Linked DNA regions of Mus musculus. The protein of the gene in region 6 purifies or fractionates together with the protein of the main gene of each other region. This does not show direct contact. Links are inferred from orthologs where the notes say so. Each region holds a gene or a part of one and is shown on either strand. Other genes may lie near its edges. The genes, in order: Osbpl11, Vps13a, Aftph, Akap11, Prkaca, Vapb and Wdr44.

The links.
Region 1: the proteins of Vapb (region 6) and Osbpl11 purify together in Homo sapiens (affinity purification with mass spectrometry; 4 studies listed by BioGRID and IntAct, counting the BioPlex papers as one, with this or other methods). This does not show direct contact. The link is inferred for Mus musculus from reciprocal best matches to the Homo sapiens genes VAPB and OSBPL11.
Region 2: the proteins of Vapb (region 6) and Vps13a purify together in Homo sapiens (affinity purification with mass spectrometry; 3 studies listed by BioGRID and IntAct, counting the BioPlex papers as one, with this or other methods). This does not show direct contact. The link is inferred for Mus musculus from reciprocal best matches to the Homo sapiens genes VAPB and VPS13A.
Region 3: the proteins of Vapb (region 6) and Aftph purify together in Homo sapiens (affinity purification with mass spectrometry; 3 studies listed by BioGRID and IntAct, counting the BioPlex papers as one, with this or other methods). This does not show direct contact. The link is inferred for Mus musculus from reciprocal best matches to the Homo sapiens genes VAPB and AFTPH.
Region 4: the proteins of Vapb (region 6) and Akap11 purify together in Homo sapiens (affinity purification with mass spectrometry; 3 studies listed by BioGRID and IntAct, counting the BioPlex papers as one, with this or other methods). This does not show direct contact. The link is inferred for Mus musculus from reciprocal best matches to the Homo sapiens genes VAPB and AKAP11.
Region 5: the proteins of Vapb (region 6) and Prkaca purify together in Homo sapiens (affinity purification with mass spectrometry; 4 studies listed by BioGRID and IntAct, with this or other methods). This does not show direct contact. The link is inferred for Mus musculus from reciprocal best matches to the Homo sapiens genes VAPB and PRKACA.
Region 7: the proteins of Vapb (region 6) and Wdr44 purify together in Homo sapiens (affinity purification with mass spectrometry; 4 studies listed by BioGRID and IntAct, counting the BioPlex papers as one, with this or other methods). This does not show direct contact. The link is inferred for Mus musculus from reciprocal best matches to the Homo sapiens genes VAPB and WDR44.

Annotation. Positions count from the first base shown.
Region 1 is NC_000082.6:33,183,834-33,188,089, reverse strand, and holds the start of Osbpl11 (oxysterol-binding protein-related protein 11), read right to left. Parts: upstream 3,020-4,256; 5' UTR 2,287-3,019; coding exon 2,090-2,286; intron 1-2,089. UniProt on the Homo sapiens protein: Plays a role in regulating ADIPOQ and FABP4 levels in differentiating adipocytes and is also involved in regulation of adipocyte triglyceride storage. Weakly binds 25-hydroxycholesterol. Interacts with OSBPL9 to function as lipid transfer proteins.
Region 2 is NC_000085.6:16,777,875-16,782,479, forward strand, and holds the start of Vps13a (vacuolar protein sorting-associated protein 13A), read right to left. Parts: upstream 3,060-4,605; 5' UTR 2,896-3,059; coding exon 2,796-2,895; intron 1-2,795. UniProt on the Homo sapiens protein: Mediates the transfer of lipids between membranes at organelle contact sites. Binds phospholipids. Required for the formation or stabilization of ER-mitochondria contact sites which enable transfer of lipids between the ER and mitochondria.
Region 3 is NC_000077.6:20,703,285-20,707,102, forward strand, and holds part of Aftph (aftiphilin), read right to left. Parts: intron 550-3,818; coding exon 427-549; intron 1-426. UniProt on the Homo sapiens protein: Component of clathrin-coated vesicles.
Region 4 is NC_000080.6:78,533,927-78,538,513, forward strand, and holds the start of Akap11 (A-kinase anchor protein 11), read right to left. Parts: upstream 2,935-4,587; 5' UTR 2,786-2,934; intron 1-2,785. UniProt on the Homo sapiens protein: Binds to type II regulatory subunits of protein kinase A and anchors/targets them.
Region 5 is NC_000074.6:83,993,331-83,997,132, reverse strand, and holds the end of Prkaca (cAMP-dependent protein kinase catalytic subunit alpha), read right to left. Parts: intron 2,339-3,802; coding exon 2,174-2,338; intron 1,842-2,173; coding exon 1,716-1,841; 3' UTR 689-1,715; downstream 1-688.
Region 6 is NC_000068.7:173,768,523-173,772,340, reverse strand, and holds part of Vapb (vesicle-associated membrane protein-associated protein B), read right to left. Parts: intron 821-3,818; coding exon 717-820; intron 1-716. UniProt on the Homo sapiens protein: Endoplasmic reticulum (ER)-anchored protein that mediates the formation of contact sites between the ER and endosomes via interaction with FFAT motif-containing proteins such as STARD3 or WDR44.
Region 7 is NC_000086.7:23,755,421-23,759,238, reverse strand, and holds part of Wdr44 (WD repeat-containing protein 44), read right to left. Parts: intron 2,800-3,818; coding exon 2,154-2,799; intron 1,145-2,153; coding exon 1,014-1,144; intron 57-1,013; coding exon 1-56. UniProt on the Homo sapiens protein: Downstream effector for Rab11 which regulates Rab11 intracellular membrane trafficking functions such as endocytic recycling, intracellular ciliogenesis and protein export.

The DNA.
Region 1 (4,256 bases), on a different chromosome or scaffold from region 6:
AGGTCACTTTTTGTAATTGTTATTATTTTGTTTTAAACATCTTTAGACTCTAAACCTGGGGGAGAAGCCAAGAAAAGGAGACCACGAGTTGTTTTGTTTTTTGGTCTGTTTTTTTTGGGGGGGGGTTTCGAGACAGGGTTTCTCTGTATAGCCCTGGCTGTCCTGGAACTCACTCTGTAGACCAGGCTGGCCTGGAACTCAGAAATCCACCTACCTCTGCCTCCCGAGTGCTGGGGTTAAAGGCGTTCGCCACCACCTCCCGGCGAGACCATGAGTTTTGAGCACCTAATATTTGCTCTAATTCTACTTCATTTTTCACTTTAATTTAGAGTGGTTTTCAGAATTGCTACTATAAGACTGACCTCTGGTTATCTTGAACTTTTCCTTACTTCCTTGAATGATATCAAAATATCCCCACAAAAAAGAATTTTCTTATGGTTCATCTTAACACATAAATTGAGAGGGGCTGGAGAGATGGCTCAGCAGTTAAGAACACTAGCTGCTCTTCCAGAGGACCTGGGTTTGGTTCCCAGAACCCATGTGGCAGCTCCATGATGAGTCCAGGTCCAGAGGATCTGATGCCTTCTTCTAGATTCAATAGAGCCAGTGCACACATATGCAAACATACATACATACATACATACATGCAGGCAAACATTCACACCCATAAAAAAATAAAATGAAAAAAATCACAAAGGGGGAGAGTTACACTGACTTGACTTCAATCCCCATTGCCAATTACAAAGTTAGCTACTCTTCTCACTTCTGTAGGTTCATGCCTGCATATTTCACATAGACATATATTTGCATATTAGGTGATACAGGGTGATATATAGTCCTAGCTGTGCTGGAATTTACTATGCAGATATGAGGCTTGCCTCAAAACTCACAGAGATTCTCCTGCCTGTCTCCCATGCTCCAGGATTAAGAGAGAGCACCACCACGCCCAGCCCACATCTGCATATTGTAACACACGCGCAGTTCATACATATGGATAGTACTCATGATAAATATGTAGCTTTCACAACATCTTGGTTCCTACCCCTTCCAAGTCTTACAAGTGTAGTCAAAGAGTTTAACACAATCAAAAACCAAACCAAACAAACAAAACCAACTAGAATTAAACATACAAGCAGTTACCCAAAATTTCAGTATTCATCAGTGTAGATCCAACATTATAGGATGCCCTAATTCCATTCATTCTTAGAATTATGGGTAGTAATCTCTCCCTATACTATATATATATATATGTATATATATATATATATATACACACACACATACATACATATACATATATTTTTTTGTTTTACAAACCCTTTATACATATATTTTTTAAAGCACCAAAATGAAGCTTTTGATATTTCTCCAAGTTTTTCATTTACATTAATAAAAACTAACAAATGGCCGGGCGTGGTGGCACACGCCTTTGATCCCAGCACTCGGGAGGCAGAGGCAGGCGGATTTCTGAGTTCGAGGCCAGCCTGGTCTACAAAGTGAGCTCCAGGACAGCCAGGGCTACACAGAGAAACCCTGTCTCGAAAAAACCAAAAAAAAAAAAAAAAAAAACTAACAAATGTAGAATTTCAAGAGTTTTCAAGTAGCCTGATTACACTCTACTGCTTATCAGCCTCTGTATTTAAGTCCCTCCCCTTCTCTAAGTCACAAGCAACCAAAGGATAAGATCTTCTCTGACTCTTGTTACTCGAATCATTCCACAAGTTTTGAAGACCAGCATTTGCCTCTCAAAGCGCTGAGTTCCACAGTTTCTGCTCTAAGAGACGTTCAGGCTTGCTTGTAAACAGATTACAACAGAGGCAAAAACCAGAAGTGAGTGTAGAGATAAATCAGAGGAAGAATAAGCCCTTGGATAATCGAGAAAACTCTGGGGTACATTTCTGAATTCCTCAAAGGGCCTCAAAAAATTACCTGTTGAATGAATTTCTGAAGAAAGTCAATCCTGCTCACGAAAGCAGGGTTCTATCTCCAAGTCAGATCATCAGCCGCTTTGGAATTGGCCTTCCAACTGGGATATGCAGACCCCATCACACTCCGAGCCACCCCAGAACATCACTTTGGAGGGCCATACCTGTACTGCCAGCCTTTCGCACTGCCACCGCGGCTGCTGTTGCTGCTGCTACTGCTGATGGCACCCCCACAGCTGCTGTTGCCGCTGTTCTTGTTCGGGGTCACTGCTGTGGCCAAGCCCTCCAGCTTCCCTTCACTCTCGGAGACTTTCATCACCGATGCCGGCTCACCTCCCTGCATCTTAACTCCAAAGTTCATCTGCCCTTCTCGGGCGAGGGACACCAAGTGCAGAGTTATTTTGTAAGTACTTTTCCCCCTTTCTCTCTCTCGTTTTTTTACTCTCAACGGGATCTCAGACCTCGGCTAGAGTGGAAATCGACAGTGGTCCAGAAAAAGAGGACACGCATTTCCACTTTGGTTAAAAGTTTTAAAGAGCACGGGTACCCTTCAGATAGATGCCTCTCCCGAGCAAGAACAAGGAGGACAAATCACCCCGCCAGAGGGCTCGGTGCCACACTCCGAGGAGCAGCCGGGCGGCGCGGGCGAGGTCGCGGATCCTCTGCCTGGGAACGCGGGGCAAGGACGGGGTCCACGGCCCGGGAGCCCCGGAGCCCACGGCCTGACCTCAGGACTCGGGGGTCGGGCCAGCCGCGCCGCTTCTTCTCCTCAGCCGGGTCCTCGGGAGAAAGGGCCCTGTCCAGCCAGCTCCGCGGTTCCCACCGCAGCCCCGAACTGAGCCGGAGCGGTCGCGCGAAGCCCGCGGAGGGTCGGGCAGACGCCGCCGGGCAGGACGCGGGCTCCGAGGCCGCTGAGCTTGGGCCGGAGGCGAGGGGTTCACCGTGGCCTCCTCCGAGAGCGCTAGCCCTGGAGCCCCACGGAGTTCACAGGAGCCGACCGCTCCCTGGAGCTTCCTTAGCCCTAAACGTAAAAGCCAGAGCCAGGGCCCGGGCCGCCGCCCCACCCACAGCCGGTCACCCACCCGCCTGCTAGCTCTCCCCGCCTTCCTTTCCGGTGTCGTGTGAGCTCATTTCCGCTAGCATTGAAGCGGCGGCGCCATCTTTGATTGGGGCAGACGATCCCGAAAGGAGGCGGTGACCGGAGCCTCAAGGGAGAGAAGGAGCTGAAAGAAGCAGTGGGGAAAGAGGCAGCAGGCGGGAGGGAGGGAGAAAAAGGGAATGAAACGGTCTTGCTAAACAGGTCCTATACTCTCTTGGGGAGCCCCATTCCTTGCCTTTTAAGGGAACCTAAAAAAATAAGAATTTACAGAACAAAGTGGGGAAAAATAACTGATCAGTCATTTTTGAGCAACAAAAAACCCAACATGATATTGGACTAAGGTAAATCGTCTTAAAGAAAAGGAAATTGTCTTGGAAATTAGAGCTCTTGGTGATGCTGGAGAAACTTGAAGTAGATTGATATAAAAAGGATTTACTAATAAGCTTACTTAAAAAGGACCAATAACACTGGAAGAAAAGTAGTTTATTGCCACGTTTGTTACAAACTGTAAGAAAGAAAACTTTTACCATAATTGAAGTTTGGGGTCTCTGAAGAAGTTTCTCTTACTGTTTATCCCCTCAGCTTGACCTCCAGTTAGGCTCCACTCCCACAGCAAAAGGAGACAACCTGCCATTATACCCATCAAAGAGCATTCCTAAAACAAGACACAGGGGCAATGCAGGACCACAACCATCTGCAAGGCCCAGCCTGCCATTAACTCTTTGTCTAGGCACAGGGAAAGTTTACCTCTACCAGGTGGGCATGATTAACCTGGGTAACAACTACTTGAAAGAACCACACTGGTGTACTTAAGAAATAATCCTTAGCCGGGTGTGGTGACACACGTCTTTAATCCCAGCACTTGGGAGGCAGAGGCAGGCGGATTTCTGAGTTCGAGGCCAGCCTGGTCTACAGAGTGAGTTCCAGGACAGCCAGGGCTACACAGAGAAACCCTGTCTCGGAAAAAAAAAAAAGAAATAATCCTTGTCTTAGGGTTCTCTGGAGTCATAGAACATATGGAGTGTCTCTATATAGTAAGGGAATTTATTGTAATGACTTACAGTCTGTAGTCCAACTAACCCAACAATGGGCAGCTGTGAGTGGGAAGTCAGGCCTGTGAGGCTAGTATAAGCTGGTCTTCTGTGGAAATAGATTCCAACAGACTTGCTAGCAAGTAAGTACAATCAGTTGAAGAAGAGTGAACCTTCTTTCTTCAAGGTCCTGATGTAGGC
Region 2 (4,605 bases), on a different chromosome or scaffold from region 6:
GACACACACACACCTCCTCCAGCAAGGACGTGTGTCCTAATCATTCCCAAACAGTTCCACAAACTGGGGATCACCAAGTATTCACACATGCAGGCAACCATATAGACCTGCACACCCACCGCACACACATACAAGGAAACAACATTTTAGAAGTGAGGCTAGCAATGCTCAAGAGGATAGTGCACAGCTACATCTTGATACAAAACTGGTGATGGTGCAACATAACAGAGCCATTTCAGACATCAGTGTCAAGGTGTATTAGTTAAGTTTGAGGGGTGGATTCATGGGGGAGGGGGGACCATAATAAAATGCTCGAGACTGGTTCTTATAGACAAAGTAATACATTTGGCTCAGTTTTGCAGGCTGAAAATTCAAACAGCATAGCAGCAGCTATGGTGAAGATCACACACACACACACACACACACACACACACACACGAGAGAGAGACAGAGAGAGACAGAGACAGAGAGATACACACACAGAGACAGAGAGAAAGCTCACAAAAAGAAACTGAAAGCTAAGGTGAGAGGCCACTGTGCCTTGTTAGGCCTACATCTAAAAGATCCAGCACCTCTTATCAGTGCCAGACTAGGGGCTAAGCTTCCAACATAGAACTTTTAGGAGACACAATCAGACTTTAACCAAATCCTATCATTTCACTTCTCATAAAGTTACATATTTACTTACCACTCACAATCCCACTGCTAGGCATTTACTCCAAAGAAATAATTTATGTTCACACTAACACCTGATGCACCTTGCCCTTTAACTGCCAAAAAGGAAATACTGCAAAGATGGCAAACCTGTGTCTATAACAAGCCCTAACGTCCTGCATACATCACCTTGTCCTGCCATTCCCGTGCTTCTGAGCAGGACAAGGTGATGTATGCAGGACGTGAATGACGCATGGACGACTTCTCTGCATTCTGTTAAGAAGCCTGACTCAAGCCGCTACACAGAAGCTGAGTGTGATGGCACAGGCCTTTAACCCCAGCACTCAGGAACCAAAGCAAGAAGATTCTAAGTTCCAGGCCAGCCTGGGCTACATAGTGAAACTGGATCTCAAAAAGAAAAAAGCTACAAAGCCAAAGGATTCAGTTTATAACACTCTTAAAAATAAAAGCAAACCAGCAGACTGTGAACAGATAAGTAACTGCCACTCGAGGAAGAATCAATTACAAAGAAAAGAAGTGGGAATTTCCTAGGCTTATAATCTTTTTGTATCATTATTGAGATAGTTGAAACATTCTTAAGGTTTATTAAAACAAAACTATTCACAAGACTCAACTTTATTCTAGGTAAACTTTAAATACATAAATTTGGTGAATTATAGTTTACACAGCCTGCACCTTAAATGTACAAAACATTTCACTACAAATCAAACCACTGTTCAAGTAACGTTTTCTTGTTCATTTTATTGTTTTCATCTGTATGTATGAGTGTTTTGCCTGTGTGTATGTCTGTGCACTACACGCTTGTGTGCAGTGGCCCCTAGAGCCAGAAGAGAAAGGCAGATGCCCTGGGACAGATGATTGTAAGCTGTCATGTGGACACCAGGCTTGGATCCAAGTCATCTGGAAAGGTAGCCAGCGCTTTTCACCACTGAGCCATCTCTCCAGGTACCAGCTCAGATATTCTTCCAGGCTTTTTTTCTGAGCTACAGAGTTTTGTTATCCTCACTCTGCAACTGAGAAGCAGCGCAGACTAAGCAACTTGCAAGTACCTGATCTCAAAGAGGCTGTGCTAGCTCTTACAGATCAATTGCCCACGTTATCGTGGAAGAAGGTACCTAGCTACATTGAGGGCTTGTTTGTTTAATAAAACTAAATTACTTGTTTTCATTATTTCAAAAATGAGAAGGCTCAAGATAAACGAGAACTTTTAGAAAGTTTTAAGTAAGTACATTATCAGAGAATGCACACACTATTTACACAAATAATTAACCCTAACTTTGGCCTGGAACGTTCATTTCAAAAAAGGCCTCTACTTGCTAATAGCTACTTAAAATAAACAAGAGTCTAATGCAATACAGATGGAAACACTAAAAATAAGACACTGTATTAGGTAAATCATTGCAGTGAAGGGGTAGATGCAGCCCTTCCCATCTAAGCAACAGAGAGGAGTGCTCATCACGTCTTCGTCAGGTCCGAGAAACGGAAAGCCCAAATTACATTTTGACCGTCTGTTTTCCTGCATTTTCTTTTCGTTCTTTAAAAAAACAAAAAACTCAGGTCTTACAAACACCCACATTCCCACCTGGTCAGGCTGCGACCTGAAAACCTAAGTAACTCTGAGATACTCTGAAAGGGGCTTTCCTTTCCTTTTATTCCCCCTGTCATTTGCCTGTCCCAGCTAAGCAACACCCAAGTCCAAGTTCAGTGGCCGGACCGGAACTCGCCTAGAAAGCACGGTGAAGTGGGGCAGGGAAGGGACGAAGGGTGTCTTCGCGGACGGCGCCTGGTCTTCACGTGCAAGTCGGCGTGCGACTCCCCGTGGGCTCGCCGGAGCCTTCCTGACAGCCCGGGGCCAAACTGCCAGGGATGCCTCCCTTGCCCAGCGGAGGCCAAGGGTCACCAGCACCCGGCCCCACCGGGACGCGAGGCTTCAGCCAGCGCCTCCCCCAACCTCACGGCTCGCGCCGCCCGCCCGCCCGCCCGGGAACCGCCGCCCCGCTTTACATAACTTGAAGGGCGAGGCGGGCAGCTGCAGGTGGCGGCGCCGGGCTGGCCAAGGACCGAAGCCACGAGAAACCGCGCCGCCGTCTCCCGCGACCCTGGAGCGGCGACCCCGTTACCTTTCCAAATGCCCAGGGAGAGCTGGGACTCGTCCAGGTTCACCACATAGTCTCCCAGGAACCGGTTCAACACTTCCACGACCACCGACTCGAATACCATTTTTTTTCCTCTCTGCCGCGGAGGGCACCGCGGCACTACCCGGGCTGCTCCTCCCTCGAGACGGCTCGGCTTACCGGCTCCCGGCCCGCTCCAGCTACGGTGCGGGTGCTGCCGGGTCCCCTCAACCCGACCGCGAGCCCCACAGAAGGAAGGTAGCCGCTCGCACCACGCGTGCGCAGCTCGGGCTGCGCGTGGGGGCGTGACCGACGCGGAACTGGAGGCGCGGCCGGGAGCGAGAGTGAAGGACGGCGGCTGCGCAGCCGCGGGCCCGCCCTTGCCCGCGAGCGGACCGCCGGGCCTCTCCCGCCGGCCGCGCCTCCTATCCGTCGCTTAGCAACAGAACACCAGTCGAGCGCTGGAGACCCCGCCCCGGAATGATTCTCCTTTTTACCCGCAGCGAACTTTCTCTAGGAGGCGGGGCGTGATGATAACCGACAGGAACGCCGCTTCCGAAAGAGAAAACTAAGATCGCGGGATCCAAAGAGTGGAGAGTGTACAGCTTGGTGCGAGGTTGCGGGAAGTTTCCTGAGGCAGTTTCCCAGGACGCTTTTCCCCCATTATTACCAGTTGTGAGGTTCGGCCAGCCTTGGTGCTTGGGTACTTCCTGACGTTCTCCCTTCTCCTGGCAAGGATGCGAACTGGCCCTTCAGTTGCCTTCCCTTACTTCCTCAGCTACTAATCTGTGCTGAGGAGGGGCGAGGGAGAGTAAAGTTGGGAGATAAATTCCAAGTTCTTAATGTGCAACTGCTCTTGGCACCTTTTTCCGGTCAAATCATTTATGTGAAAGCCGCCAGTCATGTTAAAGAGTAGCACGTTTGAGTCAGTCCGGAGACAGCAGAGAGCCTGCCAAGAACCAAGAAAGACACCTCTGAGCCTTAGTGGCCAAGCTAAAATAAGTAGTGTCTCCGCTCCACGCTTGGACTTAGAGAAAATTGGTCCCAAAGTCCTGAGGTCACAAGACAGAGGTGCAACTTACAGAACCGACATTAATCCTCTGAGGATTTCAGAGGCAGCAGTACACTTTCAACTTTCTCTTCGCAAGGCACATCCTGATTTGGCACTGAGTGTATTTTGTGCATAGTCATCAAGTATCTCAAATTTATTTCAGAAAAAAAAAAGAGCAAAAATAGTGTAAACTTTTTTAAGCTTTTAAAGAATATATTAGCATATATTTTACAAAATAATGGGTTTCATTATAACATCTTGATAAATGTGTATATTTTGGTCGTTTATTACCCATGACTCTTTCTTGTCCTATTGACTGATTCCTTCTTCCCAAATAGGACCCCTTCTGTTTTCATGGATTTTTCTATCAAGATTCTAAACCTTCATCCATGTTGGTTTTTTTTAATGAGTTTTTATTTAGCACAATTTTAAATTTCATTTGTGTGTGTGTATAAGTGTTTTCTACATCCGTACCTGGTACCCTCAGGAATAGCTCTCTGGTTATTGGCGTTACAGGAGGTTGTGAGCCTCCATGTGGGTGGGTGCTGGCAACGGAGTTCAGGTCCTCTGAAGCAAATGCTATTAGGCAGTGTCGTCTCTTGAGCCTATTCTAAAATTTGATCCCAGAGAAGATATAAAACACTGGACTGCTTCTCCTATGGTCCCCAAGGACAAACGCAGATATGATTCCATCAAAGTTCACGTTGGAGAACCAATGAGTTTGTTGGGCTTCCTTAAAGAGCATATCTGAGGACTTCGTTATGG
Region 3 (3,818 bases), on a different chromosome or scaffold from region 6:
ACCCTGGAACAATGCTTTAGTGGGCTACTGATATAGAATATACATTTTGGGAAGAACTGTACAAACATACATTTGTTAGATATAACTTGTAAGCGTTAGTACAAATGTTGTGTTTTCTAGTGTTTGAAAATCTGGCACTTACTATATTTGTGTCGGTATTTATGATCTTAAAAACTAAGACTGTGACTTGGACTGGTTTAAAACTTACTAATAATAAATCTTGTTTTGTATTTTATCTTCTTATTTTTAAAAATTACAGATTATTTCTTCACTGTAGCCTAAGAATGTTAAGTAACAATCTAAAACATGTCCACTTTCAAGTTTTACAAATATAAAATGAAAGACATATTAAGAAAAATAAGCCAGCATGTGTGATTACGCGTCTGTATAAATGCATAGCCACTTGCATACACATGGACAGCTTACCTGGAATGGATCAGATGTACACGTGTTTATTTCTGGTGTCATAACGGTTGTCTGACCAATAGAAGCAATTTTTTCTGCAGCAGATAGTGGTTTTAATGGTTCCTTGGTGGGCTCTAACATTCCCTGAAAAAGATATATTAGTCATTAATTGGAAATGGATAGATACAAAGCTTATAATAATGGCAATGTAAGAGAAAAGAAAAAATTCAAATAATATATATATATATATATATATATATATATATATAAAAGATTATTTTAGAATAAAATGTTTTGAAGTCAAATCTATTTTTTTAAATTTTTAATATTTATTTATTTATTTATTTATTTATTTATTTATTTATTTATTTATGGTTTTTCGAGACAGGGTTTCTCTGTGCAGCCCTGGCTGTCCTGGAACTCACTCTGTAGACCAGGCTGGCCTCGAACTCAGAAAGCCACCGCCCAGCTTCCATTTTTTTTTTTAAAAAATATTTATTTATTTTATGTATATGACCACACTGTCCTTGACACTCCAGAAAGGGCATCAGATCCCATTACAGATGGTTGTGAGCCACCATGTGGTTGCTATGAATTGAACTCAGGACCTTTGGAAGAACAGTCAGTGCTCTTAACCGCTGAGCTATCTCTCCAGTCCCAAATCTTCCATTTTCAATAATATTTTATTTTATGCTACTTAAGACACTAATATTAGCCAGGTGGTGGTGGCGCACGCCTTTAATCCCAGCACTTGGAAGGCAGAGGCAGGTGGAATTCGAGGTCAGCCTGGTCTACAAAGTGAGTTCCAGGACAGTCAGGGCTACACAGAGGAACCCTGTCTCAAAAAGACAACAACAACAAAAAAGACACTAATATTATATGAAAAGGCAATTATTTCTAACATAGTGGTATGTTGAAAGCATATGTCTTTTAGTGTGAATTTAATATGTTTAAATCTGAGCTGGTGTCTCAGTACTTAGATTCTGGGTCTGGCAAAGAAAGTATAGACAGACTGCCACTTCAGAGGGCAAGACACTGTATGTACTCCACTGGATCTGAAACAATTCAAACATACTTTTTTAAAGTAAAAAATGAAAATATTGTAGATTGATATGGAAACAAACAAGCAAATCATTTGGTATCAAGGTTCTACCAAATATGGAAATAGCTAACTCAGGTTAACAGCACAAAGCAGCAAGGCTTTGACATATATAAACCACAGCTGAGGTCCAGGGTAAATGTTTATGCTTACATCTTCTGGAGACCAGCCAAACAAAACCAAACAACCTGATGAGCTCTGAAATATTTATTGGTTTATATTTCATACAAAAATCATTTTTAACTATATGTGTGCATGTGTATATGAGATCAAAGCTACTAACCAGTAATTTCAAAATCTGTACATTTCTAAAACTGCCTTTCAGGAGACTCCCTACTCTCACTGAGGTAGAAACTAATAAAAAGCAATTTACACAATGAACTCCTCTTCTCCCCAACCTCCCAATTCCTAATGTTACTACATGTGGCAGGCCTCCTTCCATGCAGTAGAAGATGAAAGTAAGTTCATGGTCAAAGTGCTACACCACGTATATTAAAATATGCCTTAAATGCTTCTTAATTCGAACTACGATTTAAACCAGTGGTGCCCAAGTTGTGGTTGCCAATCAACAGCACCTAAAACCTGATCAACTGTATAAATTCTCAAGCTCTGCCTCGGATTATAAAAAAGCTTAAGATAGTGTGTCTTTTTGATTTTTGTTTCCTCTTTCTTTTTCTTTTTGAGACAGAATTTACTCTGGGCAGCCCACGTTGTCTGTAGATTAGGCTGGCCGGCCTTGATTTTAGAGATCCCCTCCCTAGTACTGAGATTGAAGGTATGCACCACCAAACCCCACCCACAGAAACCTGTGTCTTAAATCTTCCAAATGACTCTGATGAAGTTGGAGAACCAGACACTGAAATGACTATTTCAGGTGCAGTCTTCCATCTGAGATGCACCACAGAAGAAATAGAGGTGTCGTTAAGCTTTGTATCAGAGACATCACTGGAAAAAGCACTGGCCTGGCAAGCATGAGGGGCCTTACTTAGTTCACTGCTTACTCAAGTAAAAAGGGAGGCATGGTGACACTTGCTACAATTCCACTACCCACCCATAAATCTATTTATATTCACTAAATACATTTAGTGTTTTAAAACCTTAAAAGTAGTAAGTTTTTTATTATTACAGGCAATAAAGTTCAAAAATGAAGTGTAAGTTTTACTACCAACTCCTTAAAGCCAGCTAACGTGCATCAAGAAGCTACTGCTGGCAAGCTTACCAAATTATCTACAAGTCCCACTTAGACTAAGAGACTACACAACAGCCTCTGGAGTCCTACTGTCTGAGAAAAAAAGAAATCCAAGTAACCAACAAGTTAAAGAAAAGTTCTGGACTGTATTCATCTAGAACAGAGAAGCATACAATACAAGGTAAGTAAGTGAGCAGCAACTAATTTAAAAACAAAACAAAACAAAACCTCAGGCACAGAAAATTCCACAACAAACTGAAAAAAATCATAATGTTCCAGTTCCATGCCAATAAAATTAGAGCCTACTCACAGAAAGTAAGCTGTGGATAAAAACAAAACAAAACAATTGTACTTTACAGGCACATATAAGTGGTAGAATTTAGACTTCATTTTACAGTTGCTTTGTTGTTGTTACTTTGTTGTTCATTGAAACAGGGTTTCTTTCATGTAGCCCAGGCTGAACTTGAGCTAGCGTGAGAGAAGGATGAGTCTGAGCTCGCTCCCTCCTGACCCTCCTGCTTTCACCTCTGTAGTGCTGGGATTATAGGTCTGCACCACCACACTTAGCTTTCTTGAGTTTTTAAACCACATTTTCCCCTTACATTCAATTTACTCCTTATAATAACATGAGATTTTTGCTTAATAGATAGGACATTTTCATTTAGCAATAATTCACCCACAAACACCAAACTTTATACTATAACTCAGAGGCTGGGCAGATAGCTGTGTTTGCTGTGCAAACCTGAAGACCCGACCGAGTGCAAATCCTCAGGACCCACCTAAAAGATGGGTGCAGTTAGCTGTTCATGCATGCCTGTAATCCCAGCATTGTGAATCCTGGACAGAGAAAGCTGGGGCTTGCTGGCCTGTAGCCTAGTCCAGGTTCAGTGAGCAATCTGCCTCAAAGGAATAAGGACCCAATGTCCTCGCCTTGACCACACATGTAGACCCACTCCCCACAAGAGGCAAAATGTGACTGAATCTTGTTAAAGAAGCATTTTTCATTCTATTCTTTAACAAGATTCAGTCACATTTTGCCTCCCATTTGCTAGAACTAACTGGAATATCTGGGAAAAAAAAAAAACCACATTAACAATATTAATGGAAACGGTAAGGTCCTGGCTT
Region 4 (4,587 bases), on a different chromosome or scaffold from region 6:
TATAAACTGTTTTAAGCAGCCTGTCCAACCTAACAAACCCAAGATAACCTGTCCTGGAAAGGGACCACTGGACGCAGTTTACAACTCTACATAGCTGAGACCAAGGGAAATGCTGGGCTTGGGGGAAGAACTCCAACTCCAAGATACTACAGTACACCATAGGTATCCATCATCTGCTCCCAACTACAGACCTCCCATGTTAAAGACCTTGCTGAAGCAGTCTGAAAGGCTCAAGTCCTTTTTAGGACTACAGTGTGGCTCCCCACCCTCCATCTCCTAGTCCCATCTTCCTAATCCACACTACAACCAACCTGACAAGAAGTAGAAAGCTGACCACGACATTCTCTCGATACACAGACATTTAGAACTGAGAGTGGAAGAGCTCTGTTAGGAACCATGATGCAAAGTCAAGGTGGGTCTGATGTGAACACTCTTACAAAGCAAAGAAAAAGCCCAGGAGGTCTCAGGAGAAGGTCAGTGTTTGACAACTGAAGAGAGCATGCAACTAATAGCAAAGAACTAAGAGAAAACTTGGTGCATTTCAACCTCAAGACTTCCCAGTCTCCAGGCCACTGAGCTAGAATCACAAACTGGACCTTAGCATCAGTGCTCCAACAATATGACAAATGCCTTTTTCTTTTTTTTTTTAAGATTTATTTATTTATTATATGTAAGTACACTGTAGCTGTCTTCAGACACTCCAGAAGAGGGCATCAGATTTCGTTATGGATGGTTGTGAGCCACCATGTGGTTGCTGGGATTTGAACTCGGGACCTTCAGAAGAGCAGTCGGCGCTCTTAACCACTGAGCCATCTCGCCAGCCCCAACAAATGCCTTTTTCAAGTAAGCTAATTCTAATGGCTTTTTGATTCTGGCAGCCAAATAATCCTCAAACCATTAAGGAAGGTCAAAGAAAAAGCTCCCAGTAAGCAGAGGCTAATCCAAAATCTCTCCGCTTCCTCCTTCTGTCAAGTCTAGTCAATAATCCACACAGTCTAAATGCTTATCTCCAGGAGGTCATGTTCAATTAATTTCTTTCTGTAAGCATGAACAGAAAAAAATGAAAATATATGGATCTGCCCCATTTGCTTTTAAGATGGTAAAGCATGTTTTCCCTGTGCCAGAATGCCAGGGTATGCCCAACTTCACACAAGCTAAACTCAAGAGTTCTCTAACCTGGCTCAACACTCATTCTCTCTGAGTGGCTAATTTTTTATTTATTTATTTATTTATTTATTTATTTATTTATTTATTTAACTACTGGGGCCACTTCACAAAAAGAAAAAGAAAAAATGAAAAAAAAAAAAACAAAAAACAACACTTGGATTACCTAAGTAATTGCTCCATCCAAAGTTACTTCAATTGCTTTCCAAACACAAGACAAAGCAACCATTGCTCTAAAAGTCTGAAACCCTTGCCACAACTTAGAAAGACTAGCAACAAAGATGAGTGGAAGGGAACTTTTGCTAACTCCTTTGCCCACTCACCTAAGTTTTTCATATCTCCCTGTGTGACTAGAATTCCCCTATTTATAGCTGGAAATTTCCCTTTACACAACCTGCTGCATTATGATCGGAATTGGCTGAGTTCCTTTCCCAGACACTAAGTCTTTGGAATTAAAATAAAATGTACCATCCTTTCTCCCAAAGGATTTTCTTCTGTTTCCCTGACGAAGCCCTGGAATTCAGAGGCTTGAGAAGGCTAGCAAATCTCTCACTACAGTTCTGGGCCTCCAACTTCAGAATCTTCAACAACTGAGAAACATCACTGGGCACAGAGTATATACTGCCAATTCCTTTCCAGGCAGATCAGTTGAGCAGTTCTGTAGCTATCTACATTAGCCACAGCTCAGCTTATAAACCCACGTCTTCCCCAATTCCCTCATATCCCTTCATCCCTCATAAGTCAGTTACTAACTACACAACTAATTGCTTAATTTACTGCCAACCTATGATTCACAATCCTGCCTGGAAAACACAATCAAGTATGAATAACCAGGTTATTCCTTGAAAAAAATGCTTCTATAGTTTGAAAGATTAGGTGGGACTATTGAAAATGACATCAATCATACTAGGCTGCCTTTTACCAGCACACACACCAACACATACACACACACACACCAAGCAAACACAAAGACATTAAAACAAAATCACCTTTGCATGAATAAATACTCCATCTTTCCTGATGCCCTTATTTTATATATTTTCATACATAACAAAATTGAGTACCAATATAAATAACACTGCTAACAAGGTGAGAAAGATGCAAAGGAAAACAAGCGATTTAGAAGCAAATGGATAATCACAAGGCTATAAAAGAACTGCGAATATTAACTCCAGTATGCGCCAAGGCCATTAGCGATGTGTCTCAGCAGTATTGCTCACCGCAAAATGCCTTAATGCCTAAAGCTAAGCCACCTCCAACTAATAGGGTTTTTTTTTCTTTTCTTTTCTTTTTAAAGACCGTAGGCAGAGCTAAAGGACTGTCACCAAGCTATACCAGGGGTTTAGACTGTACTGTCACTGTGGTCTGGCCAGCCCATTTTCTATTTGATAGCGCAATTCGGATGCTTGGCCAGCCTGGAGGCGACGTGACAGCGATGCAAACAGCGGCATCTGGGGTTAGGGCAGCGCCGGGGACCTGGGTTCGGACGCTGACAGGGAAGGATGCTGCTGCGGAGGACAAAGTGCACCGTCCTCCCGCCCGCGCCCCACGCAGCGAGGCCACGGCGCCCGGCCGCAGTCTGGACCCGGCCCTCTGGCTCCCGGTTCCCTGCCCCGCTCACCAGGCGGCACAGCCTCTCAGCTCCCGGGCATGTCAGCCTCCCGTCACGGCCCGCAACGCCCGGTGGCGCGAGCCGCAGCGCAGCGGCGCTCCCCCTCGCCCGCCCCAGCCCGCGACGCCACCGCCGCCGCCTCCCCACGCCGCCCACTCACTCTCGCGAGAGCCGTCGCACCTCTCGCGAGAACGACCCCGTGGCCGAGCCCGCGCAAAAGGAACAAGGGGTGGGGGGAAAATATCTTCCCACGTGCTCTGGAGGGCAAAGCTGCGGGTCGCCCGTCACGTGACGCGGAGGCGCCCTCTCCATTGGCCAGGCGGCCCTCGGCCCGTGGGAGCTTTAAACCTCGAGCTGACCTACGAACTCTCGGCTGACGTCTTGCGCGCTTCCTGGTGCGTTGCCTTGGGAACGGCTTAACCCTTTCCTCTGGCAAGCGCCCGAGCCCAGGATGCTGGCATCCCATCCGCCACCCTTAGACCTTCCTGGGGCTGGTTTCCCACAGCCAGTGGCAGCCCACGACATCAGGGGTCCAGACACAGCCCATCCTTCAGAATGGGTCTGCCCGGTTCCCAACATCATCAGGGGAAACCACTGAGGAAGCCTTGGGCCCAATCGGAACCTCTGGAGTCAGTCTAAAGGGCAGTGCACTTCCCAACCCCACGGGCCATTGAAATTGGAAAATAAGGCTTTGACCACCAAGAAGCCTAGCCTTGGGTGACAAGCTGTGTGATTCCTGTTTAAATCAGAGGAATCGGTGCAGTCATGTTGCATGGTCTCCTCAAGGACATACGGTCCTCAAACTGGCCGAGAGATGAGAAGGACATTTTGAAGTAGATGCTCCTTATTTGTTTTATCCTCTTTAGGGGAGAGAGACAAGAAAGAGTACAGTCATATCTTCGTTCTCTTCAACAGCTTTTGGCTGCTTTCCTTACACGTTTTAGGCATAATTCCAGGTTGTCTATTGAACACTATGAAGACAAATAGATTAGGTTGTTGAGAGCTGGGGCCGGGTTGGGGGAGGGGGTGGATATCTGTAGGTGTTAACTCGCAGATTATCATCATCTGATGGTGGTGGTTACAATTGGGCCACTGCTTGGGGGTGGTGCCCTTGTGGGAGGAAAGATTCAGGCAGTGATTTGGATAGCAGCCCTACATCGCTAGCAGAAAGTAGAATAATTCACAAGCCCCAAATCCGGATCTAATCTAGCACATTTGAATAACAAGAAATAAACTTGGGATGATAATAGAGGCTAGATCCCTTACTGCTTCATCAACCAAGAAAAGAACTGGGAGTTTAGTCTACAATGAAAAGCTTTGACCTCTTAAAGGGGGGAACAATAACAATTAGTTTAAAAAAAAAAACAAAAAACTAGTAAGCTCTTCCCTGTAGAGAGTGAATTTTACGGAAGCTGAAACAACAAGGAACTCGTCCAGGTAAAAGACAATCCTGTGAGAACCAATTTCCAATGACCTTGACAGTCTCCAAAATGTGTTAAGTCAGAGCCCTAAGCGCTGGCTGCTGACTTGTATTTAAAATATGTAGATTTTTTTTTTTTTTTATCATTTTGTTGTTTTAAACTACTTGAGAAGCGAATGGCCTGAGAGGCCTCTTGCCTTTGGCTTTCTGTCCTCCATTTTCACTACACAGGTAGCCGCATCTCTAAGTTAACTCTAAACAAACATAAAATGGTGTTCTTTGTAGATATTTATTGGAGTAAGATTAGAAAAGAGGGGTTGGAGGCTGAAAAAGAAAAGAAAAGAGTTTAATTAAAAACAAAAGAAATGAGGATGTAAACACTCCACTAACT
Region 5 (3,802 bases), on a different chromosome or scaffold from region 6:
TCCGGCTCGCTCCGGCCCCCCCTTACAACTCCCGCGCGCTTTTTAAGGAGGCGCCGCGGAGTTGGCGCCGGAGCGGGGGCGGGGAGCGCGGCGGGCGGGGGAGGGGGAGGGGAGCCCAGGGGGGAGGGGACAGGGGCGGGCGGGGCGCGCGGGCGGCGTTCGGCCGCCCTCCAGCCATTGGGCGCGGGACCCAGACGTCCTCGGCGCCCAGCCCCCTCTCCACGCCTCTCCGCGCTCAGCGCTCTCGGGACCGCACTTACCGGGAACTAGCCGCGCCGCGGCCGGACGCGCCTCGCTCCTGGGAAGCCGCGGAGACCTCACCAGCGGCCCTGCCGCGCCTACATGAGGGCTTGGGGGCGCGCGGGGCTCCCCTTTTCTCCTACCCTGCTAATCCTGCTGCTGTTTGGCCGAACCGGTCCGAGTGGCCCTCTCCAGTGCCCTCTCTGTCCCGGACTAGACCGAAGTAGGGGTGGGAGCAGATTTGAGGGCCCCGAACTCAGGGTCAAAGGACAGTTTGCCCACCCCACCCCTCCTTTCTCTGGCCAGGCGGAGGAAGTACAGGAATTCCAGCCAAACCTGGTTTCTCCAAGGTCCCGAGGCCGGGGTCTCCAGAACCTGGACATTGAGGTTCGAAATTCCCTTTCCAACACCCCAAGGGTGTGATCGAAGTCGGGAAAACCAGCGACACTTTTATTTTAAAACAAAACTTTATTGGTAATAGTTTTCAAATATGTTTACAACAGCACACTGTTCAAGAGGAAGTCTCATCCTTCGAAGCACACAGGTTGAACGACCCCCTCGTCCACCCGGGGCCCCCACCCAGGCCTGAGAGCTCCTCCTTTTTGGGAGAAGTTACGAGAGGGATAAACACAGGGATAAATGGGGTAATTTCCCCAGCAGCTCCCCACCTTTCTATTGAGAGAAAAAGCACAATCAGACTTGGGGTTGCAGTGAGTGGGGACGCACGGCAAGAGGTGATGGACAGCTGACAGCTAAGCTAGAAGCGAGGCGCCCAGGATGGGGGAGGCTTCTTAAGGGGGCTGATGCACAGGACAATTGGCATGAGACCACTGGAAAGGGGGGCCGGGAGGCTAGCAGCTCAGGGCGAGATTCCAAGCCCAGTTCCTTCCTTGACAGGGTCAGTTGGCTACCCGGGTCTCATCAGAATGGATTTAGGGAGTGAGGAGGGTGTTTGGGGAGGGTGGGACAGTTTGGAGGGTGGGAGGCACTGGTGGAACTTAATTTAAATGAAAAAAAAAAAAAACCCCACTGGCAAGCAGCCCTCTGTACAGGTCATAAAATCTCCCTTTCCAGGTAGGGCTGCATGGAAGGGAAGGTTGGCGTTACTGTTCGTTCATCCTTAGTATCCAGTGCTAGGGTCGGGAAGGAGGCTGAATTTGGGGCCCTCTTTCCGTACCCTGCCCCTGGATACACCAGCAAGATTGGGTATGGCTGGAGCTAAGAAATTCATTGAAAACAGGCAGGGAAGGGTGGAGAAGAAGGGAGAGGGGGAGCAGCTGATGTTGCCCCTTCCCCAGTATCTGGAGCGCTTTCCTGCTCTCCTTAACCCTGGGGGTGTGGAGTGGATGTTAAATTAGATGCATGGAACTCTAGGGCCCTCTGGCTGTTCGATCCAACCCTCCCACCCCCAACCGGAAAAAAAATAGAAAGAAAAAGAAAAAATGAAAGAGAACCCAAGGGGCACAAGCACACCCCTAAAACTCAGTAAACTCCTTGCCACACTTCTCATTGATGGAGACCCGGATCTCTTCCTCCTCATAGTCGTCAAAGTTACTCGTGTCCCCAGGGCCTTTAAACTTTGGTATGAAGGGAGCTTCCACCTGGATAGGAATCAAAACCACCCAGATCACATTAGCTGACCTTACCATCACAACAATAAAGGTGAATGGCTTAATATTCAAACAACACTTGCTGTGACCCAGGCCTGAGCTCAACATTAAGGTCTTCTCTGCAACCCAACTTATCAAATGGAAGTCACTTCCCAGAGGATATTTCCTGCCTAAGACCACAAAGTGGCCAGAAAAACCCAGTATCCACCATGTATAGTCCCTTACTGGCTTGAGGAAGCCTTCTGTTTAGTCTGGAACTTAATGGGCTGTCTATGCTATCCTAGCCGTAAGTCCAACTTTGGGTATGGGAAAAAGAAGCCCACCTTTCTCTGATAGATGGCAATCCAGTCAGTCGTGGCAAACCACTTGTGGTTCTTGATGTCATTGACCCCGTTCTTGAGGTTCCCAAAGCGCTTGGTGAGATCCACCTGCAGAAGGTTCCGCAGCAGGTCCTTCAAGTCAGAGCTGAAGTGGGATGGGAACCGCACCTGGAAGGGGTGTAGATACGAGTGGGGCGCTGCTCATAGGCTTTGGGGGTCCAGAATGCCACCTTCTCCATTTTTGACACAATTCCCACCCCCTCCTCTGATACCGCAGACAAGGTTTCTCTGTGTAGCCCTGGCTGTCCTGAAACTCTCTGTAGACCAGGCTGCCTTCAAACTCAGAGATCCACCTATCCTTCCAAGTACTGGGATTAAACGTGTACACCACCGTACTGGGTGAGAAAGGATCTTAATGTGTAGCTCAAACTGGCCTTAACCACACAATCCTGTCTCCTAGCCTCCTGAGTGCTAGTGTAGAGTATGTACCACTGTACCTGGCAGACTAGGACCTGTTCTATCCAATAGGCCTACAGGGAGAATCTGTTAAGAAGGCTTGTGGGGCTGGGCAGTGGTGGCCCATGCCTTTAATCCCAGCACTTGGGAGTCCAAGGCATGTGTATCTCTGTGAGTTTGTGGCCAGTCTAGTTTACAGAGGGAGTTCCAGGACAGCCAGGGCCAAACAAACAAACCCTGTCTCCGAAAAGAAAAAAAAAAAAAAAAGAGGAAGAAGTAGAAGAAGAAAAAAAAACCAAGGGGGGGGGGGGAAACACTCAAAAAACAACAAAACAATGGCTTGTTAGAGTGCGGTGGCACTCACAGATAATCTCAACATCAGCATCCAGTCAGGCAAGTGGATCTCTGTGATGTGAGTTTAAGGCCAGCTTGATCTATACGGCAAGACCAGCCAAGGCTACATAAGAATACCTGTCTCAAAAAACCCAAAAACTCATTGCTGCACTAACAGATGGCTTTGTTCTTGCAAAGGTCCTGGTTTGTTCCCAGGACCTCCATTGGCCTATAACCACCTGTAACTCCATTCTTAGGGGATCTAATGCCTTTGGCCTCCAAGGTTACTGTATGCATGTGTACACATGCACATACAGACACACAAATTAAAGTAGATAAAATATAAACAGAGATGGCTTGTTGGAGCTAGCACTACAGCGCTGGGGCAGGTCGGAGCCCAACATACACAGGGCTCTGCCTTTAGGCCCAGTGGCCATGCAAACAAAAAAAAAAAACATGTTGAATGCCCTCCTTAGTTTGCTGGCTCGGGAATTCTGGGTAAGGTCGCAGGGAACAGAACTGTAGGAGGTTCCATTCTTAGGTCTGCAGACTTGTATCCTCGCTGGGATCCTTCAGGCAGCTCCTCTGAGGGCTCCGAGGGCTTCGAAAATAAGGGTAGTTCCTCAGCCTGGATAAAATAGCTTGTATGGTTCACCCAGTCATGTACCTCCAAAAGCTCTTATACAATTCTGCACGCTTCCTCTGGATTTACACCCATAAGAACTAGCTTCTAGCCGTGCGGTGGTGGCGCACGCCTTTAATCCCAGCACTCGGGAGGCAGAGGCAGGCGGATTTCTGAGTTCGAGGCCAGCCTGGTCTACAAAGTAAGTTCCAGGACAGCCA
Region 6 (3,818 bases):
ACTGCTGATAGGCCATCTCTGGGCTGGCCAGATATTGAGGATCAGTGCCGCATGTGCTGGCCCCAGGTCCTGTCTCCTGGAGTAGGTAAGAGCCACCTTTGGGGAGAATTGCCGTTCTAATGCCCCTTCTTCTGGAAAAATCAATACCATAAAATCCTGCTTATTTATAAAAAACGAAGGCATCTTAATTTTACCAAAATTAGGGACACTGTTAAACATGTACTTACATGAGGAAGGAGGGATAAAAATGAAGGCAATTAAAGAACAAAGAAGCAGGGCCTGTTCAGAGACAGAGCAGATGCTTAGTGTGAACAAGACCCAAGCTCCGTCCTCAGTAAAGAGGGAAGAACAAAGCTGACCAGAGCTACTTCCGCTCCGCAGAGGAAAGCAACAGCGGGCAGTATCACTGGGGGGGAGGGGAGGGGCATTTAATGTTAGGCAAACCCTTCCGGGCATGAGGGCTGGAGACAGGCCAGAAGCATCCACTCAGGATAGAGCACGCCGCTGTGGTGCAGGAGAGGGAGGAGAAGGTCCACAAGAGCAGAGAATTGAAGCAAGTTCAGTTCATCGAGTCAGAAAAGAACAGCCATGTAAAATGTTAAAGCTATTCATCAAAGTTGGGAAAGTGGTACAGGGGCCTGAGTGTACACCTCCCTAACAGCACCCGCCATGGCTGCCCTAGCGGGCTGGAGAGAAGAAGAAGTGTTCGTACTTACTACTGCCTCCATATCAGAAGTGTCAGGCGGAGCAAACATAGACTGAACCATAAACTTGTGTTTACTTTTCTCATTGGGATCATAATCGAAAGGCTGTAACATCACTGAGAAAGAAAATATTTCATTAGGAGGGTCACAATGTGGTTATCGGAGTCGTTTGTCACGCTAGGTCTTACACTGTGGAGGAAAACAGCTCCCCAGCTCTCCCATCTGGACCCTGAGGAAGGCCGTGGCCAGCAGAGATGTACAACTTCCCCAACCCCCATCTTTCAGGTCAGCAGTTAAGGCCAGAAAAACTGGGGCCTGTCCCAGCCTCACAGCAGGTGCCAGCTGAGCTGTAGGTGGGTCTGGAACTTGGGTGCCTGATTTCTGATACAAAGATTGTGCGCTCACACAGAGCCACCCTCACCTATCTCACAGCTCTCGCTGAAGACATAAAATGGGAGAAACACCAAAGTCCTATTTTTCTCAAGGAAACATTGCCAAATGATCTTTTCGAGAAAGAAAACAGAATAACTCAAATCATTTCAGGATGGTTTTCACTTCTCTCCACCCCATTTCCCACGCAGCTCATCAAGGTAAGGCTTGAAATATGATTTTGCCAATAGAATTCTGGAGACGGCATAAAAGCTGGATTTGCCACAGCAGGAAAAGCAATTCCAACTCCTGCCCTACCCCCACCCAGAACCCAGAGGGAGCTCACCCAAGGCACCCCGCTGTACTGAGGGAGTCTTGTATTCTGATTCACTTCCTCGGACCTGTTTCCCCATGACTCAGCCAGGCCCAGTTATAGGAGGGCTGCTATACTCTCTCTGCTGCACAGCTTTAATAAGCTTTGCCCCTAGTGGCCTTCCCTGAAACCTAAGTTCACAATCAGGGGGCACCTCAGAGTCAGTGTGGGCCTTGCATCTCCAACCAGAACCTAGGCTCCTGCTCTTCAGACTGCCATTACCCCACTCCATCCGAAGAAGCAGGCGCTGCTGTGGGAGGAGGGCATTATTCTGCTGTCTATTTTTCTGATTAAAACAACAACAACAGCAAAATAAAAAACAGAAAAACCTGAAATAGAACCCAGTTTCCTTAGTCCACAAATGCATGCACACGCGCGCACACACACAGGCACGCACACACGCACACACACACACAGGCACGCACACACGCACACACAGGCACGCACACACGCACACACACACACACAGGCACGCACACACGCACGCACACACACAGGCACGCACACACGCACACACACACACAGGCACGCACACACGCACACACACACACACAGGCACGCACACACGCACACACACACACACAGGCACGCACACACGCACGCACACACACAGGCACGCACACACGCACACACACACACACACACACAGGCACGCGCGCACACACACACACACACACACACAGGCACGCACACACGCGCACGCGCGCGCACACACACACACACAGGCACGCACACACGTACGCGTGCGCACACACACACACACACACACACGCACACACACACATAGGCACGCACACACACACAGAGGCACGCACACACACACACACACACACAGGCACGCGCGCGCACACACACACACACACACACACACAGGCACGCATGCACACACACACAGGCACGCACACACACACACACACACACACACAGGCACGCGCGCACACACACACACACACACACACACAGGCACGCACACACGCACACACACACAGGCACGCACACACGCACACACACACACACACAGGCACACGCACGCACGCACACACACACAGGCACGCACACACGCACACACACACACACACACACACAGGCACACGCACGCACGCACACACACACACACACACACACACACACACAAACCCAAAGGTCTGCCCCACAGCTCCTGCTACTGTGTATCAAAGGATATCAGGCCTGCCTTCTGCAGTCTGTCCCATGAGAAGTTTCTCCTTCCTAGATAGGAGGAGATAAAAGGCTAGGAGGGGTTCCTGCCTGGCTGAGTCCAGGCTTACATTCATTCCCACACTATGGGTCCGATTTGCCTGTAGTTGGTAGCCCACACCTTTAATCCCGCACTCTGGAGGCAGAGGCGGAGGCAGGTGGCTCTCAATTTGAGGCCAGCTTGGTCTACAAAGCACACGCAAAGCCTGGGTCAACCCTAGTATTGAAAAAAAAAAAAAGAAGCAAAACAAAGAAAATGCTTCTTGTCTGCCTCAGAGCTGTCTAAAGATGCTGTTAACTTCCTGTCTGGGAGACCCACCCACCACGACAGCGGTGCAGCGTACTGAATGAAGCAGACACGAGAAGCAGCCTATTAAGACGTCAGATTTGCAGAAGCTGTCAACAACGCCAGCCTTCCAATTTCTTTGAGAATAGCTACTTTCATAAAAAGTATTACTACTAACATGTAATTGACGGATTGTAATTTTTAAAGAAATTAGTCATTTAAAAAATTTTAATATAATAAATATCACTACAGCTCACAAAGACCTGCTACACTCTTTGGGGTCTTCAACTGTCCCTAACACAAAAAGTTTAGAGACTACACAGGAGCACAGCTGCCACATACACTGCCTTCCTGGCCCTCTCTAGAGGGAATCAACTGGACTAGTGCCTATGGGCCCTTTCTATAGGCAACCTAAAGAGAAAGGAACTATCTGCACCCATGCCTGAGCCACAGGGGCAGCTTTGAAGGCAGCACTGCATATGATCCCTGTGCTACTCTGAGTAAGCATATACCTCAAGACCTCAAAACCGCAGCTTTGCCTACAACCATCACCACCCCACTCCTGGCCTACAGCATCATGGTCGACAGCCTCACCACCTCACTCCTGGCCTACAGCATCATGGTCGACAGCCTCACCACCCCACTCCTGGCCTACAGCATCATGGTCGACAGCCTCACCACCCCACTCCTGGGCCTACAGCATCCTGGTCTACAGCCTCACTACCCCCATTCCTAGACTACAGCACCCTACTGCTCAGCCCCATAGTGGAGAGCCCAGAGAAACACTTGATGGCAGGGCACACAGGCAGGCCTAGTGGTGGCCAGTCACAATTCCTAAGTCAACATACATCAATGTTCAGGGCCCCAGTGA
Region 7 (3,818 bases), on a different chromosome or scaffold from region 6:
TGAGGGCCCATCACTTCACCTGCTACTGTCTGCACATCAGGTGCTTTTCCATTTTCCTAAAATTATAATTGTATAAACAGACAGACTGAAACAATTTCTATACATTTTAGTTATTCATTACTATGAGCACTTCTATAAAATTCCACAAATCAGATAAAAGAGCCTACTGAAAATTTAAAGGACAGATTTTAGTTCTTTATTATCCTCTGCATGCTGAAAGACATTAGACACCAAAACTACTGCTATTCATGAAATCATGCCTTATTATTATTACAAACAAATAAATGTTTTATTTGAACCTATCCAAAACAGCAGTTCTCTATTAAGATTGTAATTAATTCAGGCCATATGTGGATATTGCTAAAGAAGGGTTAGGACAAGTTCTGTTTATATAAAAATCTAGACAACAAATATGTTAAAATTTTTACATACAGTTGTCATTGCATATTCTTCTATATTAAAAAAATTTTAAAAAGGCAAACACAAAATTCTACAAAAAACAGGCTATTTATAACCTCTATTGTATTGCTATAAGATGATAATGTCACATTTCCAGGTTTGTTAACCCCCCTCACGTCAGCTACTCTATAAATTATCCAGAGTTCCAAAATTTGGCTGTGGTAAAATGCTATGCAGTATTTTTGTATAGCCAACAGCCTAGTACATGATTTTTTTTTTTTTTATGTATAGTAAAGGAAACTTACAGCATTAAACACAGCAGCAACCATTTTTATAAATACACACTTGGCATATAGTAGCACATTTTATTCTTGCAGAAAACCTTCAAGGTGGGCCATTTCCCTCTGTTTTATCAGTGAGGCCTCTAAAAATCAGAAGCTAAATAGCTAGCTAACCTCACTAAACTATTTAGTAGCCAAGCTAGACATGGAAGTGGTCAGGTGTTGGGAACAAAGAAATATTTTGCCTAGAGAAGAAAGATAGTTTCAATAATTATATCAGACAGTTATACAGTTTGAATTCTCTGATATCAAATATAACAGTAATTCACCAACCTGGGCAGTTACTATTTTATCTCCACTGGTAGCACTTGCTAAATCGAGGGAAGGCAGGGAATCTCTAACTGTATTCTCTGAAGCCATATTTGTAGTTAGCAGAGAATCAGATGTAATATTTTCTTTGGGTACTGAAATGATAATAAAACTAATAATAGTAATAACAAAAATGACAATGATATTTATAACAAAACAATAATATCAACAATTATATATATGCATACATGTGCACGCACACACACACACATATACCAAGTGCTTTTAACCTTTATTTAATTCTTGTAACAAGACTGTAAGAACAGTGTCTTTTTATTTTTAGAATATAGTAGAGTGTATTCAGGGCATGGAGAAGGGAGGAGAGAGAGGGGGAGAGATGGAAGGAGAGAGAGGGGGAGAGATGGGAGGAGAGAGAGGGGGAGAGATGGGAGGAGAGAGAGGGGGAGAGATGGGAGGAGAGAGAGGGGGAGAGATGGGAAGAAAGAGAGGGAGAGAGGGGGGAGGAGAGAGAGGGGGAGGAGAGGGAGAGGGAGAGGGAAGAGGGTCAGCCATGAGTGTGTGGAGAGAGAGGGGGGAGGGGAAGGAGGAGAGGGGGAGCAGGAGCAAGAACAAGAGAATAAGAGCAAAACAGTGGCTTTTATTACTTGTTTTCCTTATTGAAAAGCCATGGTTCAAGACTACAGTTTATACATTCAAAGATCTAGGATTTAAATTTATATTATAAGTTTTTTAATTGCATTTTCTTTCCACCATTGCCATATAAATTCTTAGAATGTAAAAGATATCAGAGTCTAGAGTTTGCCAAGATATTCAGTAATATTACTATAACTTATTACCTTTCACCTTTTGTCAACTTATTCAAGAAATAATTTATATAACCTAGCTATCTGTGTTTTTTTCTTTAGCACAAACTGAAACAAAAGCAGAAAAGTTAGCTGAGAATCATGGCAAATGACTATGCTTGGGAGGTATAGGCAGAAGGATCTCTGTAAGTTCAAGGGTAGCCTGGTCAACATAGTAAATTTCATGCTAGCCCGGATGACATTAAAAGACCCACTCTTACTTCTCCCCAACCAAAAGCAGAAACATTAAAGTTTCAACTCTCATCTTTCCCAACCAAAGTATTTCTCTATTAATACTTGCCATCCAGATCAGGTGTTTTAAGAGCCTCAAACTCCAGTTCGCTTTTCTTTTTTCTTGGTGGTGGTGCAGGTCGAGATGGAGGTGGGGGTCTAGGAGGCGGGAAATTAGTTGGTGGGGGTGGGCGCGCAGGAACAGGCTTCTTTGTACTGGCTACTATATCAGGTTCTGGAGTAAGGTGCCTTGGGGGTTTGGCAGGAGCCACTTCTTCCACAGCAGCAAAATCTGTAGTAGATAAAGTGTCCAAGGAGGCAGGATCTAGAACATCACCTTCTTTGACTTCCAATGCTTCCTTGTTCAGTGTTTCAGCTTCTAGTCCAGAAGCATCAAGCTGCTCACCTGAACTTACTTCAGTTAAATTATCAGTCTCATCTACTGTCTTCTCACTTTTCTCACAGGTCTCATCAGAAGGAAAACATTTTTGTGTTTCTAGTTCACTTTCTTCAGCTACATTCTGACTTTCTGCCTTTTCGGAATCTTGTTGTAGTTCATGCTCTATGGCTAATAGTCCAGGTATGTTACTAAACTCTGTCCCAGCCACAGAAGGACCTGCAGTAGCCTCATCAGAAAGTCCTTTTCCTTTGGAGTCCAAAGAGTCATCTTCCAATTGTAGTACTTTCTGACTTTCCTCAATAATACTTTCAATTATCTAATGAAAGGTTAAAAAGCAGTTTTAAAAATAATGAAGCTATTTACAATAACAAAATAATAGATAATTCAGCACATGTCAGGCAATGTCTATAACATTTCATTGAATTTAATCTTTACAATAACCTATATGAGGTTTCACTTCTAATTTCATCATTTGACATATGAAGGAACTAAAGTATATATGGACCATGTAATTTGCCCTAAGTTTTAGAGTGAGACAGTAATAAAAGGATCATAAATCCTGAAAGTTTGCTTTCAGAATCTATACTCTTAAACACTATAATAGAGAATCTATATTAAAATAGTCACAAAAATTCAGTCAACCTTGTAAGGTGAAGTCATATATCTTTTCATGAAGACTCCAAATGTCAAGAGTTCATTTACATAGCGCTGCCACACTAGTTACAACAACTCCCTGATATCTCTAGTTAACAAAATCCACCTAGGATAAGAATTCAGTTTGTTTCAGTCTGAACTCAAGAGTATAGGAGGCAAGCCAGAAGGTGCAAGGTGATGAACACTCTTGAAAAATTATAAGCAAGGTTTCATTCCTCAGACTGAGGACAGACCTATGAAAAGAGCTCAAATATCAGCCCACATTGCTCCTACTCCATTTCTCATGTCTAAGAGAAAAAAATACACATAGGTGATCTATATCCTTAAGTAATATTTAGAAGAAAATATATCTTCTACCCAGCCTTTTAAACAATTTATTAATTTTATTTTATATACATTGGTGTTTTGCCTGCATATATGTCTGTGTGAGGGTGTTGGATCCCCTGGAACAGTAGTTACTGACTGTTGTGAGCTGCCATGTGGGTGCTGGCAATTGAACCCAGTGCCCTTAACCTCTGGGCCATCTCTCCAGCACGCCTCTTCTACCCAGTGTTGTCCTTACTAATGCATTAAGTCCCCTGATCTATTCATTCTTCTAATGTGCCAACCATGGATAATTTCTACTTTTTCAATTCCCCAGCTCCACTAAGTTAACAGAGTAGTTCCAGACCTATCCTGGTA